4 linked regions of the Nothobranchius furzeri genome follow. The main gene of each other region encodes a partner of the protein of the gene in region 4 in a complex. Links are inferred from orthologs where the notes say so. Each region holds a gene or a part of one and is shown on either strand. Other genes may lie near its edges. The genes, in order: lamtor5, lamtor2, flcn and fnip1.

Evidence for each region.
Region 1: fnip1 (region 4) and lamtor5 share a complex: the UniProt entries of both Homo sapiens proteins name them as parts of the lysosomal folliculin complex. The link is inferred for Nothobranchius furzeri from reciprocal best matches to the Homo sapiens genes FNIP1 and LAMTOR5.
Region 2: fnip1 (region 4) and lamtor2 share a complex: the UniProt entries of both Homo sapiens proteins name them as parts of the lysosomal folliculin complex. The link is inferred for Nothobranchius furzeri from reciprocal best matches to the Homo sapiens genes FNIP1 and LAMTOR2.
Region 3: fnip1 (region 4) and flcn share a complex: the UniProt entries of both Homo sapiens proteins name them as parts of the lysosomal folliculin complex. The link is inferred for Nothobranchius furzeri from reciprocal best matches to the Homo sapiens genes FNIP1 and FLCN.

The regions. Positions count from the first base shown.
Region 1 is NC_091755.1:27,982,283-27,986,435, reverse strand, and holds the start of lamtor5 (ragulator complex protein LAMTOR5), read right to left. Parts: upstream 2,839-4,153; 5' UTR 2,732-2,838; coding exon 2,697-2,731; intron 2,617-2,696; coding exon 2,555-2,616; intron 1,015-2,554; coding exon 897-1,014; intron 1-896. UniProt on the Homo sapiens protein: As part of the Ragulator complex it is involved in amino acid sensing and activation of mTORC1, a signaling complex promoting cell growth in response to growth factors, energy levels, and amino acids.
Region 2 is NC_091745.1:61,225,364-61,229,367, reverse strand, and holds lamtor2 (ragulator complex protein LAMTOR2), read left to right. Parts: upstream 1-1,303; 5' UTR 1,304-1,520; coding exon 1,521-1,588; intron 1,589-2,050; coding exon 2,051-2,213; intron 2,214-2,298; coding exon 2,299-2,388; intron 2,389-2,950; coding exon 2,951-3,007; 3' UTR 3,008-3,449; downstream 3,450-4,004. UniProt on the Homo sapiens protein: As part of the Ragulator complex it is involved in amino acid sensing and activation of mTORC1, a signaling complex promoting cell growth in response to growth factors, energy levels, and amino acids.
Region 3 is NC_091745.1:76,768,672-76,772,934, forward strand, and holds the start of flcn (folliculin), read right to left. Parts: upstream 2,808-4,263; 5' UTR 2,601-2,807; intron 2,483-2,600; coding exon 2,276-2,482; intron 1,942-2,275; coding exon 1,795-1,941; intron 1,709-1,794; coding exon 1,487-1,708; intron 1,382-1,486; coding exon 1,215-1,381; intron 1,118-1,214; coding exon 1,026-1,117; intron 1-1,025. Other genes in the region: leng9 (leukocyte receptor cluster member 9), read left to right, coding at 3,289-3,394. UniProt on the Homo sapiens protein: Multi-functional protein, involved in both the cellular response to amino acid availability and in the regulation of glycolysis.
Region 4 is NC_091750.1:58,896,524-58,900,603, forward strand, and holds the start of fnip1 (folliculin-interacting protein 1), read left to right. Parts: upstream 1-1,237; 5' UTR 1,238-1,343; coding exon 1,344-1,435; intron 1,436-4,080. UniProt on the Homo sapiens protein: Binding partner of the GTPase-activating protein FLCN: involved in the cellular response to amino acid availability by regulating the non-canonical mTORC1 signaling cascade controlling the MiT/TFE factors TFEB and TFE3.

The sequences.
Region 1 (4,153 bases), on a different chromosome or scaffold from region 4:
AGTGGTTCCAAAAGTTGGGGTCCCGATGGCCCAGTGGTTCATGGAACACTGAGTTCTGGCTGTGGAGATGATCAATCACAACCTAAAAATACTGTTTGAATATAACTGATGTAAAAGCTAAAATAAGCCTTGAATCGGACTCAAAACCGTTTGTATTTGTATTTATGTTATTTAGACTTTTGAGATAACAAATTATATCTGAGATTGAAAGTTCGCAGCAGTAATTTTAAATAAATAAATATTCAGGAGCTGTCATTGGGTTGGTAAAATGTTCTGAAAGACGAGATGTTCATTTACCAGAAGATGGCAGCACAACGACATAAATAAAATCCCACAGTTGGTTGACTTCCTCCCTCTCCATCCTCCATGGAGCCTCCGTCCACTAAAGAGGACATTGGCTTTTTAATTTTTTATTCTGTAGTTCAACTTTGGACCCGTTTTTAATGATGATGGGGTTATTTAAATGTCTACGAGGTTATTAGGGGAAATTAAAAAGGGCTTGGAGTCTCAAGAAAATATCTCAGCTGCCTTTTGGGAAAGAAATGAACAACATTCTGGAATCTAATGCCAAGAACCGAGCATGTTCAGTTCAAAGTCACAAATGGCATTGCCTTTGGTAAGTAAATAGAAACTGGAGGAACCAGATAAGCGTACTGGTTTTAGCAACCGCGATGAAGGCTCGGACCCGGATGCTAATAGCTGCTGGGAGACAGTGAACCACTGGATCAGATTCAGAACCCTGAGTCTCTGGTTCTGATCTCTCTCAAAAAGCTTTTTTTAGAGTAATTGATCTCCGTACACATTAATCAGAACCCCCAAAGGTACATCTTAAATACCCCGAGATAGATTTTTAAAAAGAATTACAAGTCAAGCTAAAACCCGGTCAGTGCTCTCACCCTGACTCAGACTCCAGGCACACGGTCGGGGTGACTGTTGGGTCTCTGGTGAGCGCCATAGCTTGTTTGGACAAAACAGACACAACACCACCATGTTCATCAGACAAGGAGCCACGACCTAAAAGAAAAAAGAAAAGAAACACGCAATGAATTATTTAAATGTCTTAAAAAAAGGAAATCAGTGCATCTTTCAAACAGTCATTTTCTGTGATTTGTGTTAATTCCAAACCTGTATACAACAATGACCTCCTTATGAAGGATTGTTAACATATTACAAACATTTCTGTCCCACTGCTGTTATTTAGTCCAGACTGAGGATTTCTGAATTCTGGGGTCTCTCGAGGATCTGAATCATGTTGAACTCATTGTTTGGTTTCTGTCTTCTGCATCTTTTGACTATTTCATTTAGGTTTGTCCATGTACCAGGGAAACATTGCTACTGACTACACAAAACAATACTCATGTTTACCCACTTCCAACAGTTACATCATAACCTTTTCAAAATAACTTTCAACAAGACCTAAAAAGATAATAAAAGTATGAGGACGCTAACAAAGAGCTTAGACTTTGCTGGATGCCTCTGTTATAAATATTAATTAAACCGAACAGAAAAAATATATATACTGATATATCCATCATTTTTCTTCCAATTATCAAAGTCTGGGTTGCTAACAGGTCCAGGAGCGAAGCTCAGATTTCTCTGATCTCAGTGACTCTCCATCTCCATCAAGACAGCTAGAGGGCAGACAGCCCCTCCAGCAAGTTCTATGCTCCAGCAACCGTCAAGCTGTGATTCTTCAGACCACATGATACCTGTCAGCTGCTGCAGGAGTCCTCTGGGAAGTAAAATAATTACTTTATATTATCATCAGTTGTTCTGCTTTGTGTTTCATTGCACAGCTGATGAAAATGGACTGGATATGTTCTGAATTCACAGCCTAAGTAAAATTTAGAGCATGTTCATCTCCCTGAAGTTTGATGAATTGTAGAAGAGATCAAAGTTCAAACTAAACCATGGAAGCCAAACAAGTAACACAGAATCAATTCCACGGAGTATTCACTTTCCCAATGACAGTAATTGTTGTATGTGAATAATGTTCATAAATGACCTCACTAACTAACTGCGTGGTTATTAAGCATTTAGTATTTATTAGTTTATGAGTAATAATCAACAATAAACAATTATAAGCATCATTTTGGATTGGTTGTGTTTAGAGAATTATAAAAACATTACATTTTAATTTTAATTATACCTCATTAGCCTTTGTGATTAAATTTAATTACAGCAGCTTCCTGTTGACCTGTTAAACAGCCAGAAGAGCTCATTCCATCAGAAATGCTAATCTCATTATGCTAACAGTGCAAACACTGTGAAGATTTTCTGGCATGTGAAATAAGTTGAGATTTTAATGGTTGAAATGTATGATTCACAGTAACTTCAACTATACTGTAGTATGTATTTCAACCTTTACAGATGAAAATAGCTAAACTGAAGGAAATAATATTATTTGTGTGTTACATTAATAGCTTTTGCTGCAACTAAGTTATTTCATTATTCAAAAAAAAAAGAACACGACACTGACGTAGCCTTGTAAAAGCTAACTAAACCGAATATGTTTCATACATTTTGCTGTAAATCTTTTTTAAATTAATCTTACAGCCCAGGTTGTGTCCTTGGTGATCTGTGCAGAGCACACCGACAACTGCTGGATTCTTCATGCTACAAAAAAACAAGGAGAAAGGCTTTAATGAAACAAAAAGTGAAGTACGTCAGCAGTTAGAGTGAGATTTTTAACGTACGTGTCATCGAGATGCTGTTCAAGAGTCGACTCCATCGTTAACAAACGAAAAGAGAGAAGGTTTAATTGTTTACAGTTTCATCGACGTTTCCGGTTAGAGTCAGCTGACCGTCACGTGCGCTACGAGTCACAACGAGGACCAAAAAGTGTGACGCGAAAGAGAAAGAGAGAGAGAGAGAGAGAGAGAGAGAGAGAGAGAACGCAAAATCTTTCCATTTACATTACATAAACAAAATAGGCATAGATAGATAGATAGATGATTGATAGATAGATAGATAGATAGATAGATAGATAGATAGATAGATAGATAGATAGATAGATAGATAGATAGATAGATAGATAGATAGATAGATAGATAGATAGATAGATAGATAGATGATAGATAGATAGATAGATAGATAGATTGATAGATTGATAGATAGATAGATAGATAGATAGATAGATAGATAGATAGATAGATAGATAGAAAGAATTAGCATTTTCCTTCAAGTTTTATTAAATTTTCCAATAATAATAATAATAATAATAATGTTATGGGCGGCACCACCTCATCCCCCGTCACACTGAACACTGGTGCACCGCAGGGGTGTGTGCTGAGCCCTCTCCTGTACTCACTCTACACCTACGACTGCACGGCCACGAGAAACTCCAACATCATTGTGAAGTATGCGAACGACACCACAGTGATAGGTCTCATCACCAATCACGATGAGACGGCCTACAGGGAGGAGATCAGCGCCCTGACCCACTGGTGTCAGGACAACAGTCTCACCCTCAACGTCACAAAGACAAAGGAGATGATAGTGGACTTCCGGAGGAGCAGAGGAAGCAGAGGAATACACCCCCCCATCACCATCAACGGCGACGCTGTGGAGAGGGTGAGCAGTTTCCGTTTCCTTGGAGTTCACCTGGCAGAGGATCTTACGTGGTCAGTGCACACGGAAAATACAGTGAAGAAGGCACAGCAGCGCCTCTTCTTTCTCAGAAGACTGAAAAGATTTGGCATGAGCCACCGTATCCTCAGGACCTTCTATTGCTGTGCCATTGAGAGCATCCTCACTGGATGCATCTCCACCTGGTATGGCAACAGCACCGCTTACAACCGCAAAGCTCTCCAGAGAGTAGTGCGGTGTGCAGAAAGGATTATTGGAGGTGAGCTTCCCTCCCTCCAGGACATCTATAAGAAGCGGTGCCTGAGGAAAACGGGGAGGATCATCAAGGACTCAAGTCACCCCAGCCATAAACTGTTCAGACTACTTCCATCAGGAAGGAGGTTCTGCAGCATCCGGTCCAGAACCAGCAGACTGAGAGACAGCTTTTTCCATCAGGCCATCAGACTGCTGAACACTTCACAGACACCTCACCCTCACTACTGAAACTCCAACATTACACATTCCATACTGTACATTAATGCCACTGTTTTGCACATACCAGCCTCTATATATTTTATATCTCTTA
Region 2 (4,004 bases), on a different chromosome or scaffold from region 4:
ACCACGTTAATAAAAATATTTCTTTCTGTAACGAGCAAACTAATTAATTACCGTCTTCTTTTATCAAAACATCGTTTCTGTTACTGATAAGAAAATGCGTGCGTGAAGCAGCGCGGTGTGTTGAAGCTGTTATCATCAGCTGATCAGGAGCTAAAGAGGTAGATGTTTTCATCCAAGTGCGTCACGGCCCGTGAAGAACGAGGAACACGTGATGAATATCTACGGCTGCAGGTGCGGGTCTGCAGCCGTGCCCTTCTTAGCGTGACAGCGGGACGTCCCGAAGGTCCGCTCAGACGTCCTGATCTTCTACCTTCCTAGATCATCCAGCTGTAACCTGTTTCTGATCATGTCTTTAGTCCCGCTGTAACACTGATGCATCAGTCTCAGACGTCATGGAGCTCAGGTGTTATCAGAACTGTGTGTGTTCACCACCCAGCTTCAGCTCTTCTGTGGTTGGGTCTGACCCAAGTTAGTAAATGTAAGTCCTCCATCAGATCTGTGCCTCTTCTAGTGTCATTTTAAAGGATATTTATTTATTTATTTAACCGTTACTAGATTAGCAGCAACAGAAATGCTGCTAAAAACACACAATTATGTGAAGCTGGAAAAATTAGAATACTGTGCAAAATTACATTTATTTCTGTAATTTAACTAGACTGAGAGACCATTTAAAGGCTCGGGAACCTTTACAGGTGTTTCTATTTGCAATTTTAAATTTTAGCTGATTGGGGTCTTGTTAAATATCACACAGTGACCTTTTAATAGTCTAGATTAGTGTAATGTTCCTATTAGTAGTTCCTCCTGTTAAGTGCATATTTGTTTAAATTATTCAGGTTTATATAAAACATTTGGACATACATTTTATTATGTTCAGTCATTAGTCATTTATATTTTACTATTGTAGTAATTCTTGCATTCTTTAATGAAAAAAGTAACTAAGTAGTTACTTTTGTTGGTAATTAGTTACTTTTATGATCTTGTAACTCAGTTAGTAACTGAGTTACTTTTTTGACAAAGTAATCAGTAACTATAACTAATTACTTTTTTAAAGTAACGTTCCCAACACTGCTTATTATTACAATCATGTCTTCATATACAATACATGATATCCACAAGCACGTGAGGATGTGTTTCAGCTGCTAACAGGCACCAGAATTAAAATTGAAAATTAAACAAGTAACTCTAACGCGATATCTTCAGCCATCCTACACATGCAGGAAATTGTGTCCGACCTAAACGCCGGCTTTCAGCCACTCCCCCTGCTGCTTCCGTCTGCTCTCGTCTGTTTTCCAGGCGAGGCCATCAACTCGAGCACGGCCAATGAAAATCCTTTTTAGTTACGACCGCGAGACAACATTTCCCAAAGTGCAATGCGAAGGAAGCCGGAAATGCGGAAAGACAAGTCAGCTGACTGCCTGGACGCATTGCTCTTCACGTACATCAACATACTATCAAAATACTTCGTGTTTTTTTCTTATTATTATTAAAACCGTTTTTATTCTTTGGTGAGGTCGACAGCGATGTTGCGACCCAAAGCTCTGACGCAGGTCCTCAGCCAAGCGAACACAAACGGAGTCCAGAGCACTCTGTAAGTACGAGTTAGCGACAAGCTAACGAGATGCTAAGATGCTATTTACTCTGACTCTTAGCTGCTTATCGTTTTTTGTACAAGGAAAGCTCGCCCAAAGAAAAATAAGCGTTGTTTTTTGGGAACTCTTAATGCTTAAAAGACATAATTTTAGTTATTTGAATGTAAAACTTGCGCATTTAATGATTTTTATCGTAGCTGTTTTTATAATGTCACAGATTAGAACGCTGTTGCAACAGATCCTAACAAATACCTCGGTTTATAATGATCAATTTCAATGAGATGATTTATAAAATATTTCTAATTTACACATTAGTGTCTAAAATAGTCAACCTTTCTAAATGTTAATTGTATGATGAGGCATTAGCTGCACCATCTAAACATACATCAAGATTATTTCTAACAACACAGATAACTTATGAGTAGGCTGTCTTAGTATGTGTCACGTGTTTATCCTCTCAGCTTGCTGAATAATGAAGGTTCCCTCCTGGCTTACTCTGGTTATGGAGATACCGATGCACGCGTAACAGCTGCCATCGCCAGCAACATCTGGGCAGCTTACGACAAGAATGGCCACCAAGCCTTCAACGAAGACAAGCTTACCTTCATCCTCATGGACTGTATGGTGAGAAACACAGCTCCGATTCAGGCTAAAACATTAGGCTGACCTCAAATTGTAACCTTCTTCTGTGTATTTGTTTTTTTTTAAGGAGGGAAGAGTGGCCATCACTCGTGTAGCCAACCTGCTGCTGTGCATATATGCCAAAGAGACTGTGGGATTCGGGATGCTGAAAGCCAAGGTGAGAGTTCGGGGCCTTTTCTTCTAATTGTTTCCCACGTTTTGCTTTTTATTGGTAAAGATTTTATGTGTTGGAGCTCTTCTGTCAATTGAGTTTAAAGCATTATTTTACAACAGTTGTTTGGATGGCAAAGAAAACTGCTTTTAACTTTGCTTTTAACCCTTTCAACACTTTCTATTGACATATTCTGTTCACATATATTAAACGTAAGTCTTAACTAAAACGTTTTATACTTAAAGGGCTAAAATGTAAGGGCAGATCATTAAATAAACCATTGAATGTGCAAATCATTTGAAACTAATCATTTAAACACAGATTAAACCACTTTTAGTATTTCTGAGGAATGTGCTGAGTGGTTCTAGACTTCTGTTCCACTGTTTAAAACAGGAAGTCCTTTAGAGTGACCCAGGGAGGCACGTGGATGAGGTTCATCAGGTTTGTCCAGCTAGAGCAGCTCATGGAGAACCCAGCTAAATCTGAACTGAGGCTGAAGTTTCTGATCAGTTTAAAGGTCGTACCAGATTTAATCTTTTCCAGTAATTGTGCTTTATTGTGTTTGTAGGCAGAGGCTCTGGTTCAGTATCTGGAGGAACCGTTGACTCAAGTGGCCGCATCGTAGTGAAGATCCGACCAACGCTTCTGTTGGTCTGAACTGAAGAAGAAATCAGCTGTTCAGGTCATCGGTGGACTGCTGTAACCCTCCTGTCCAACACTAAGTGTACAAAGGGCCATGTCTCTAAATGGAGGGGTGTGTGTGTGTGTGTGTGTGTGTGTGTGTGTGTGTGTGTGTGTGTGTGTGTGTGTGTGTGTGTGTGTGTGTGTGTGTGTGTGTGTGTGTGTACAGCTGAAATGTGATTCCATTTTCAGTTTTCACTTGGAATCGGTCCATTCGGTCATAGTTTTGTTGTTCAATGTGAAACTGAACATTTTTAGGAGTCACAGATGTACATCATGATAAAAACGTGTGTGGAGATTTTATATGAATCTTTCTGAAAAATGCAGTTGAGATTGTTATTTACTTGTGTTTTATGTCAAGGTTGTTTGATAAATGAGAGATACTGGCTCAGAGTCACCCATTCTTTTAAATCCTGCTTTGAGCTGGTGACGGTTGGGTGTGTTTCACCCTCGTATACACCTCTGAACGTTTTTAAACAATTTTAAATATGCAGTATCAGGTGAGATAAACTTAAATTTGCTCTGAAAATCTTGTGAAAGGGAGAATTTGCGGGTTTAGAGAAGCTTACCTTGCTTGTCTTTGAGTTTCATCACCAGATAATTTTATTTCTTTCAGTAATCACAGATTTCACAAAAATCTGATGAAACTTTTCACTCTTTCAGTATCCAATACTTTAAAAACAAAACCTTTTTTAATAAGTCAGAAGATCTGGGTAACTTAAAAGCTAAGAAAACTCACGAGTGCATGTGCATTCTGTTTAACTCCATTTAATCAACTAATGAGTTTTAATTGATACCAGTTAGTGATTTTCTCTTGAGGCATTAGCATCAAATATACTTTCTCACCTGCAGCCAGATAAAGAAAGTCTCAGCTTTCAAAATAAAAATTTTAATCACCCAAACCTGGAGTTAAATGCCTATACAGTTTTGCAATAATCAAG
Region 3 (4,263 bases), on a different chromosome or scaffold from region 4:
GTAGAGTGTCCTGAGACTGGGAGATCAGGGGTTCAACTCCTGGTCGGGTCATACCAAAGACTGAAAAATTGGGACCCAATGCCTCCCTGCTTGACACTCAGCATTAAGGGGTTGGATTGGGGGCTTAAACCACCAAATAGTTCCCGAGCGCGGCTGTGTCTGCAGCTCACCGCTCCCCCAGGGGATGGGTCAAATGCGGAGAATAAATGTCACACACATACCTGTGTGTGTGACAACTAATGGGACTTTAACTTTGACTTTAAAAGAATAATAGATGTCTGCGCCGTTGCTAGACGCCATTTTTTAACTACAGCGTTGCATGGTACAGTCGGCATGTACGTCTTTTTTCTCATTGGTTATTTTTGAGCTGTCTAGTCCCGCCCCTCAAGTGCCTCTCCGCCTGTGAGTTACCAGACTCTTTGTGCAGAATTAAACAGAGGACGAGTCTGGCCGGCCAGGCTAGCTATCATCTACATTACCAGACAAATATTTGAGATCACTTGAAAATATCATGTTTCTTTCTGCTGCGTGCCAGAACCCTGTTGCGCTGATCTGGGAACAGCTGGCCCATAGGGTATATGGGGGGGGGGGGGGGGGGGGGTCGCATTAGATAATCTGCTAGAAGGAGACACCCAGGAATGTCTGTGGGCTGCCAGGCTGTGACTACTGCAAAGCTGCTCTGTGGTTTTTGAAGAAAACATTGATCATTTCCATTAAATGATTTAGAATCATGTAAAAAAAAGGTTTTTGTTTGGACATTTATTTTTATTTTTTATCAATGAACAAAGTTCATTCCACAGTCGTGTCTGGGCCGAGCCCCAAAAATTCTCCAAAAGTCTTTTAATCACTTTCTAAATCTCGACAAACCGGGGTTTAACTGTGAAGTGGTGTGTCATGTTTTCCTGGATCAAATGCCTTTCCCGATCGACTCTGTGATTCACTCTTACGGATTTCAGGCTGACTAGTTGAACAAACAAAAACACTAGCCATAGCAGTGAATGTCTGATGAAATCATGTCTTTCTACCTGTTTTTCTCTCAAGAAGAACCAGCGTGTCCTCTGTTGGGGCTCCTTCAAGGAGCTTTTCTGTCAGACGACAACCACAGGCTTTCAGTAACCTAAAAAGGAAGTGAAAACACACATCAGCTTGGTAAGTCATAAAAGTAACGTGGAGAAATCACAATGGCTGGCTATTAAAAGTCTATCTCAACTCACCAGCTGAAGGAGCAATGCAGGCTGGCCCAGAGATTGGGATGCTGAGTGAGAGAAGTTAGCGATCGGGCTGCGTTGCCACTTCTTTGATGTGGAAAAACCGCAGGAGAAAACACGCTGTTCATCCTCAGAGCTCGCTGGGGACAAATACCCTGTTCAGTGTCAAACACCTGATGGACAAAAAGATGGCAAAACAGCACAAACTGACTTATTAAAATGACAAAGTGTTTGTCCAGTAAAAAAAAATGAATGCACAGTCTACATTTAGGCTCTACCTTTAGAGCTGTGCTTTGCAGACTTTGTATAGTGAGTTTGAGGTGTCGTAACAGGAAAGGCCAGGAGTTGATGAGGTAGATCCTGTCCATGGCCACTACAACTATACTGTACCAGCGCTGAAACCCACGGGCCAGGCTGTCCTTGATGAAGAACGTGTGTGAGAACACAAACCCGTGTTGTTCATCACCGAAAAAGATCGGCCCTTCACGTCCAGGGCACACCTGAAACCCAACAACAAAAAGACTCGCGTTTTTGGAGGAGGGGAGGTTAGAAAAGGTCCTCCTCAGTTAGATCAGGTAGAGTTTACCTCACAGCTGAGACTGCGTACACAAGCCTGACGAACTACACTGAAAAGCTGAGACTGTCTGGGGTGCTGATGGCTCACAAAGCGAATTCCTGTTTCATCATCGATGCTCACGAAGCCTGGGTGAGACGCAGGTAGAGATCGGCATCCCTGTGAGGCATGGACAGGAGGGAAAAGGAGAACTTCGATTACAGGATTATTAAATAATGTTGCTGCTCTATCTTCTTAAACCATAATGAGTTGTGGCGGGTGGCTGCTCATACTGAGCCTGGCTCTTCTGGGGCTAAAAGGGAGTTTTCCACTCCACTGTCGCTACACACTTGCTTAGTGTGAGCACTGCAATCTGCTGAGTTCCTTTGTATAGAAATGTTTACTATGTGAAGTGACTTGAGACGACTGTTGTCGTGACTATAAATAAACTGAATTGAATGAACCTTCTCCAAGGTTTACTGTGGGTGAGATCCCATCACGCATGCCCACTCACCTCACACATCTCCCCTCTTTGAGACACAGACCCGCTGGCCCTCATGGTCAGACCTTCACCCTCCCGATCAGCATCTCTGTCCCCTGGAACCGGGGTGCCCACCTGAGAGGAGGGGTCTGGGGATGGAGGGTGTAGCGCCTCGGTACAGAATAGTGTCCGAGGGCCATGGAGCTCACAGAAGTGACACAAAGCTACCAGAGCATTCATCTGAGAAACGGATCAAGCGTTTATGAGAATCTAATCAACGTAATTTATGACATAGTTTTTATTCACAAGCTAACACCCGTTTAAGCCATTTTAACCAGCAGCAACGAGAGGATCTCACCTTTAGCACTGAGAGTTAGACTGGAGCTCGCTGCTGCTTCACTCGTTTGTGTTAAAAATGTATAAACAACAAAAGCGTGACGCTAAATCAAATATTTCGTCTACATGTCTCGTATAAAACGCGCGAATTCAAGAGAATAAATCCTCTCAGCACTTTCTCGTCTCAGTCTCGAGTTGTTAGCAAACAGCACAGTCACGTGACCTCGAGTCACGCGCTCGGACACAAATCATGACGTACGTCACGGAGTTGATTAAGTTTAATCATAATTACTATTTTATGATTTATTTAAAATAAAATAATGTCGTCTGTGAGCAGATAGTTTTCATATGGGAAAATGTGTTGCTAGCATTTGACTTTACGAAGCGTGTTTCGTCGAAAGACAACATAAAACTACATTACCCAGAGTTAAGTTCGAGGAGGGTAAAGGTTACGAATGAGTTGGTCAGCGTTTCTCTAGAGTGCTAAAAAGTACGGAGCTACAGAGGACCGTGTGGTAATGTACTTTTAATAAATATAAAACACCATTTCTTAAAACGTTTGTATTTGTGATTTAAATGTAATTAACATTGTATAATGTTGAATTTACAGCATGTGTGTTTACTTTATTAGCTCATCAGTAACTTCCGTGTTTCATTGTAAAGGAAAAGGCAAAGCCCAACAGGGACGTAGGAGCCTTTCTGAACTGGGAATGGCGTCAGACGGATCAGGAGTTCCCCCAGAATCCGCAGTGGACGGTGGAGGGACCCCCCCAGCTGAAACTAAAAGTAGGAAAGATGCCCAACAAGCCACGAGAGGTAAATGCCTGTTTTAGTGTTTGTCTTTTCTCATGTCTGTCATTCTCTCTCTCTCTCTCTCTCTCTCTCTCTCTCTCTCTCTCTCTCTCTCTCTCTCTCTCTCTCTCTCTCTCTCTCTCTCTCTCTCTCTCTCAATATATGTATATTTATATGTATATAAATATAAAAAAATCTGTATTTCTCTCTCTCTCGCCGTCTTTCTTCCCTGTGTCTACCCACCTGCCAGTCATGTTGGTCAGATTTGGTTCTGTTGTCTGAGTGAGCCTCCAGTGACTTGGCCATCTTCACCACAAGTTGCAGTCACTTCCTGTTGCTCTACAGATGCATCTTGTCAGTAGGTCACTGGTAATGGTGACAAGGATGGAGAGGGGACTTTTCAACCACAGCCTTCTGCTGAAGTGACTCTTCTGCAGTCATGTGTGGTGTAGAGTTGAGCAGAGATGCTCAGTGTGGTAGCCCCCTAACCATCTCCACATTCCAAGTGGTCGAAACAGGAAGATCTAGCAAACAATGGCTCTGAACTAGCAATGCAACTGCTTTGGTGGAAAACCCCTAACCTCACCTCTGTAACATGTAGCTCACCTCAGTAGCTCAACAGGTTGAGCGGGTTGTCCAGTAATTGGAAGGTTGCAGGTTCGATCACGGCTCCGGACAGATAATTCTGCTGTTGTGTCCTTGGGCAAGACACTTAACCCACCTTGCCTGCTGGTGGTGGTCGGGGTCCGGTTGCGCCTGTGCTCGGCAGCCTCGCCTCTGTCTGTGCGCCCCAGGGCAGCTGTGGCTACATTGTAGCTCATCCCCACCAGTGTATGAATGTGTGTGTGAATGGATGAATGATACACTGTAGTGTAAAGCGCTTTGGAGTCCCT
Region 4 (4,080 bases):
CTCTGGCCAGCATGTTAACTTGTGTGCCGCATGCAAATGTTTGGGGTGGGATTTTACGAAATTCCGCACTGTGATTGGTTGTCATATTTTATTTTGACACAGGGAGCCAATAGAGAGTCTTAATTTGAGAAATTCTCCGCCTCCTAATTAGAATGCTGCGCAACTAGCTAGCTAGTGTGAATGTAGACTTGAACTAGTTTACTAGTATACATTTATGTCCTCACTAGTTAACTAGTTTGGACAATGGATGCATCAACTAGGTAACTAGTGAGCCTGCTGCCATCAACTAGCTAGCTAGTGAGTCATTAATGGTTCACTAGTTAACTAGTGGCACTGACCTACTCCAACTAGTTAACTAGTTAGGAGTTAAGCCTTCACTAGTTAACTAGTGTGCACATTTTGGCCATCAATAGTTAACTAGTGAGACACAAAAAACCTTCAACTAGCTGACTGGTATGCACTTTGGCCTTTACTAGTTAACTAGTGAGCCATTTATGTGTCAACTAGTTAACTAGTGAAGCCAAAATGTGTTCACTAGTTAACTAGTGCACATTTATGTCTACCACAAGTTAACTAGTGTGCACATTTTGGCCATCACTAGTTAACTAGTGAGACACAAAAACCTTCAACTAGCTGACTGGTGTGCATTTTGGTCTTTACTAGTTAACTAGTGAGCCATTTATGTGTCAACTAGTTAACTAGTGAAGCCAAAATATGTTCACTAGTTAACTAGTGCACATTTATGTCTACCACAAGTTAACTAGTGTGCACATTTTGACCCTCACTAGTTAACTAGTGAGACAAATACCTTCAACTAGCTGACTGGTATACATTTCTGCTTTTACTAGTTAACTAGTGAGCAGTTTTTGTGTCAACTAGTTAACTACTGAAGCCTAAATGTGTTCACTAGTTAACTAGTGCGCATTTCTGCTGCCACTAGTTAACTAGTGGGCACATTTTCACCCTCGATATTTAACTAGTTGACACAAACATGCCTAACTAGTTAACTAGTGGACAGAAATGGCTTACATGTTCATGACAATTCTGGCTGATATCCTGATATCAGAATAAATGCTCATTTGGCTTGCCATACAGACCAAACATCAACACAGCGAACCCTCTAACCACGTGGTACCCAGCCAATAATATCAGCCAATCACGTAATTTGTTGCAGCTACCACGCCTGCTGAGCCAATCACAAAAAAGCAGTGGGTTACTAAGCAGCTCCTGTGACTAATGCCTGTCATATGACTCTGACACCCATGGAGACAGTTACAAGGAACAAGATTTCCTCTCGGATTTAAAAACAAAAGAAAACTGTAGAGAATTTCTTTTGGTTGAAAATGCCTCCGACTCTCTTCCAGAAACTTTTCAACAAGAGAAGTGCAGTCTCGTCGCCGCCTCCGAGATGTAGCAAAGGGGATCCCGCTTTCAGGTAGCTGTTTTGTGTTTGTAAATATGTTTGTGTGCAACGTTAATTGCGCTAAAATTGTGTAATTTGTTAACCTGTGTGGATGTTTAACGGTCTTCTAGTGATACTTGATTTGTTTTTAGCCGGCTGGGGTGTACACAAAAAATCTTTATCCTTTAGAAATTTAAACCTTGGTGAAGGAAAGCGGTTGGAGACGTGGGAAACGTGCTTGTTGTTGGTGAGGAAGCTAACGTGCTAACGATAGCTCCTAGCAATGCTACTGCCCACGCTGCATTAGTAGCTTCCCTCGACAGCCGATTTAAACAAAAAGCCCTCATCGTTTGCAGTTGATACGAAGTTAGCACAAAATGCCTTGTCTGGAAAGTGTCGTTTTCCACTTCATTGCTATGAAGTTGCAGAGGCATGTCCTTGTTTTTTTTCCTCCGCGTGTTTCCGCTCGAGTTTTTTGTTGTTACTGGCGATACAGGCAGTTTATCTCTAGCTAGCATGAATAAATTGGTATAAGTGGCTTTTCTCAGCCTTGCAGACGTTGCTGTGTGGTTAGACAACAGTGGAGGACACTGTGTGCTCTAGCGGAGAGCATGTGATGGCTCAACTTGGCCACCAAGGCACGGATCAATGCCAAACAGGGCATCAGCCTGCAGGTCATTCACAACGTTATGTATATTTTAAAGGAAAATTAAATATTGCTTCTCACACACGTTTCATTTCCAAAGTAATTTTGTAAAAAATATAATTTCGAGTTTGAAGTGCTTTCATTATATTTATTATTGCCTGGAATCACAATGTTTCCATTATTTTAGCCCTAAAATTAGATAAAAGAACTGCTTTGATGAACATTTTTGGCTTTTTTTTTCAGTTTAATAAACAGGCAGTTAAAAATAACAGTTTGAACATTTGTATTTTTTCCCTGAAATACATGTTTTTAATCTTTTTAGAGACCACTGATTTTAGTTAAAAACAGGGGCAGATTTAGGACTGAAGAAGATCCGGGGCTTAACACACACACACACACACACACACACACGCACACACACACACACACACGCACACACATGACACGCACTAGTCAACATATATATTTGTCTTGTACCACATAATTTTTAATCTGAAGCTACTTATTAAGCATATTCAGGGCAGAGTATTGTTCCTGTTAATGGTTAGTGTGAGATGATAGTAAATATTCCCTTTCTTTCTCCAACAACTTTACCTGATAAGCTAACTTTAGGCAAACCAGCAGCACAACAAATATTTTCAAATAAGACTCACAAACCTGAGTCAACACCAGTCTCATCAAAGCTGGGGTTCTGTCGTTGTACTTTTGGTCTAAAAAACGTCCTTATGTCCATCTTCACACATGCGTTTCAGGCAGACTAGAAGAAGCCGGCTGCTGAAGGGCTTTTTCTTCAGTAGTGGAGGCTCAGGCAGGCTGTATACAAACTACTGCCAGCTGCTCCCTCTCTGTTGGACTTTGGTACTGCATGTTACTTCCGCGATTTAGATCAGGGGCTTTTCATAAAACATCCGGGGCTTCAGCCCAAGTAGCCGGGCCTAATGCCGCCCTCGGTTAAAAAGCAGCCAAATCAAAAAGAACAATACATTATTATATTGTTATTAATAATAATGTTATTTGAAAAGGGACCCGCCCACTGGCAGAGCAGCAGGCACCTTAATAATAATAATAATAATTAATAAACCTCTCTGCCTCTGAAGGTGTTTAAACCTGCAAAAAAGACTACTTCCTTTGCTTCTATCTCAATAAATACACAAATTGCAGATGATTTGGGTAATCATGTCAAATAATATTTTCCATTTGACTTTTGTCATTTCTACCTGTCTAATCAAACAATGAATGTATGCCAATGTACATATCATTAAAAAATGTCTTTTTAGCCAGAATTTTTTAATGAATATATAATTAAACAAAAGCCCTAATTTTATGGTTATATTAATCTGTTATTTACATGCTTTCTTTTGCCATTTCACCGATTTGCAGTGGCATTGTCTCAAGTAATTGTAAGCAAATGTTTGAGTTCTTGTGATATTTTTCAGGCCTAACCCATTTATTTTATTCCTGTTAATTACATTCAATTAAACGATGATACTTTGGGGGACAAAGGTGTTTAATGAGAGCAGAATACATGCGCATGCTGCATATGAAATGAAGAATATCTAAGACCAGTACTAAGCTGTATAAGTATTTATTGAGGTAATAGTTAATGTGGTAGAACCATGCATCTTTGAGAAGGTTAGCGTAATACTAGGAAACTCAGTTAATTTGCACATTTGTATGTTCAGGGTCAGGTATGCTACCAAGGAGAACGGACTTTAGAGTTGCAAATGCCTTTTCATTTTGAAAGATGTTGCTGCCATCTTTTCATGTTATTTTGGATATATATTTATATCCAAAAAGTGCACCTCCTTTGCGGTGCTTCTTGCACGTTGACCAATGTTGTGTCATAACATTTCTGCAGCTGTAAAGGTGCCCTGCACCCACTGATGTAAAGGCTGTGTGTGTGGGCTGAAGGGAGGGTGGAGGTGGCTGGCATCAGTCCTAGAGCAAACAGACAGTCAGCAGGCGTTTCTGTTAACTCAGTGGTCAGCTGTGCTCTTCATACCTCTGGCATAAGCTCTCCATTCATCAAGCA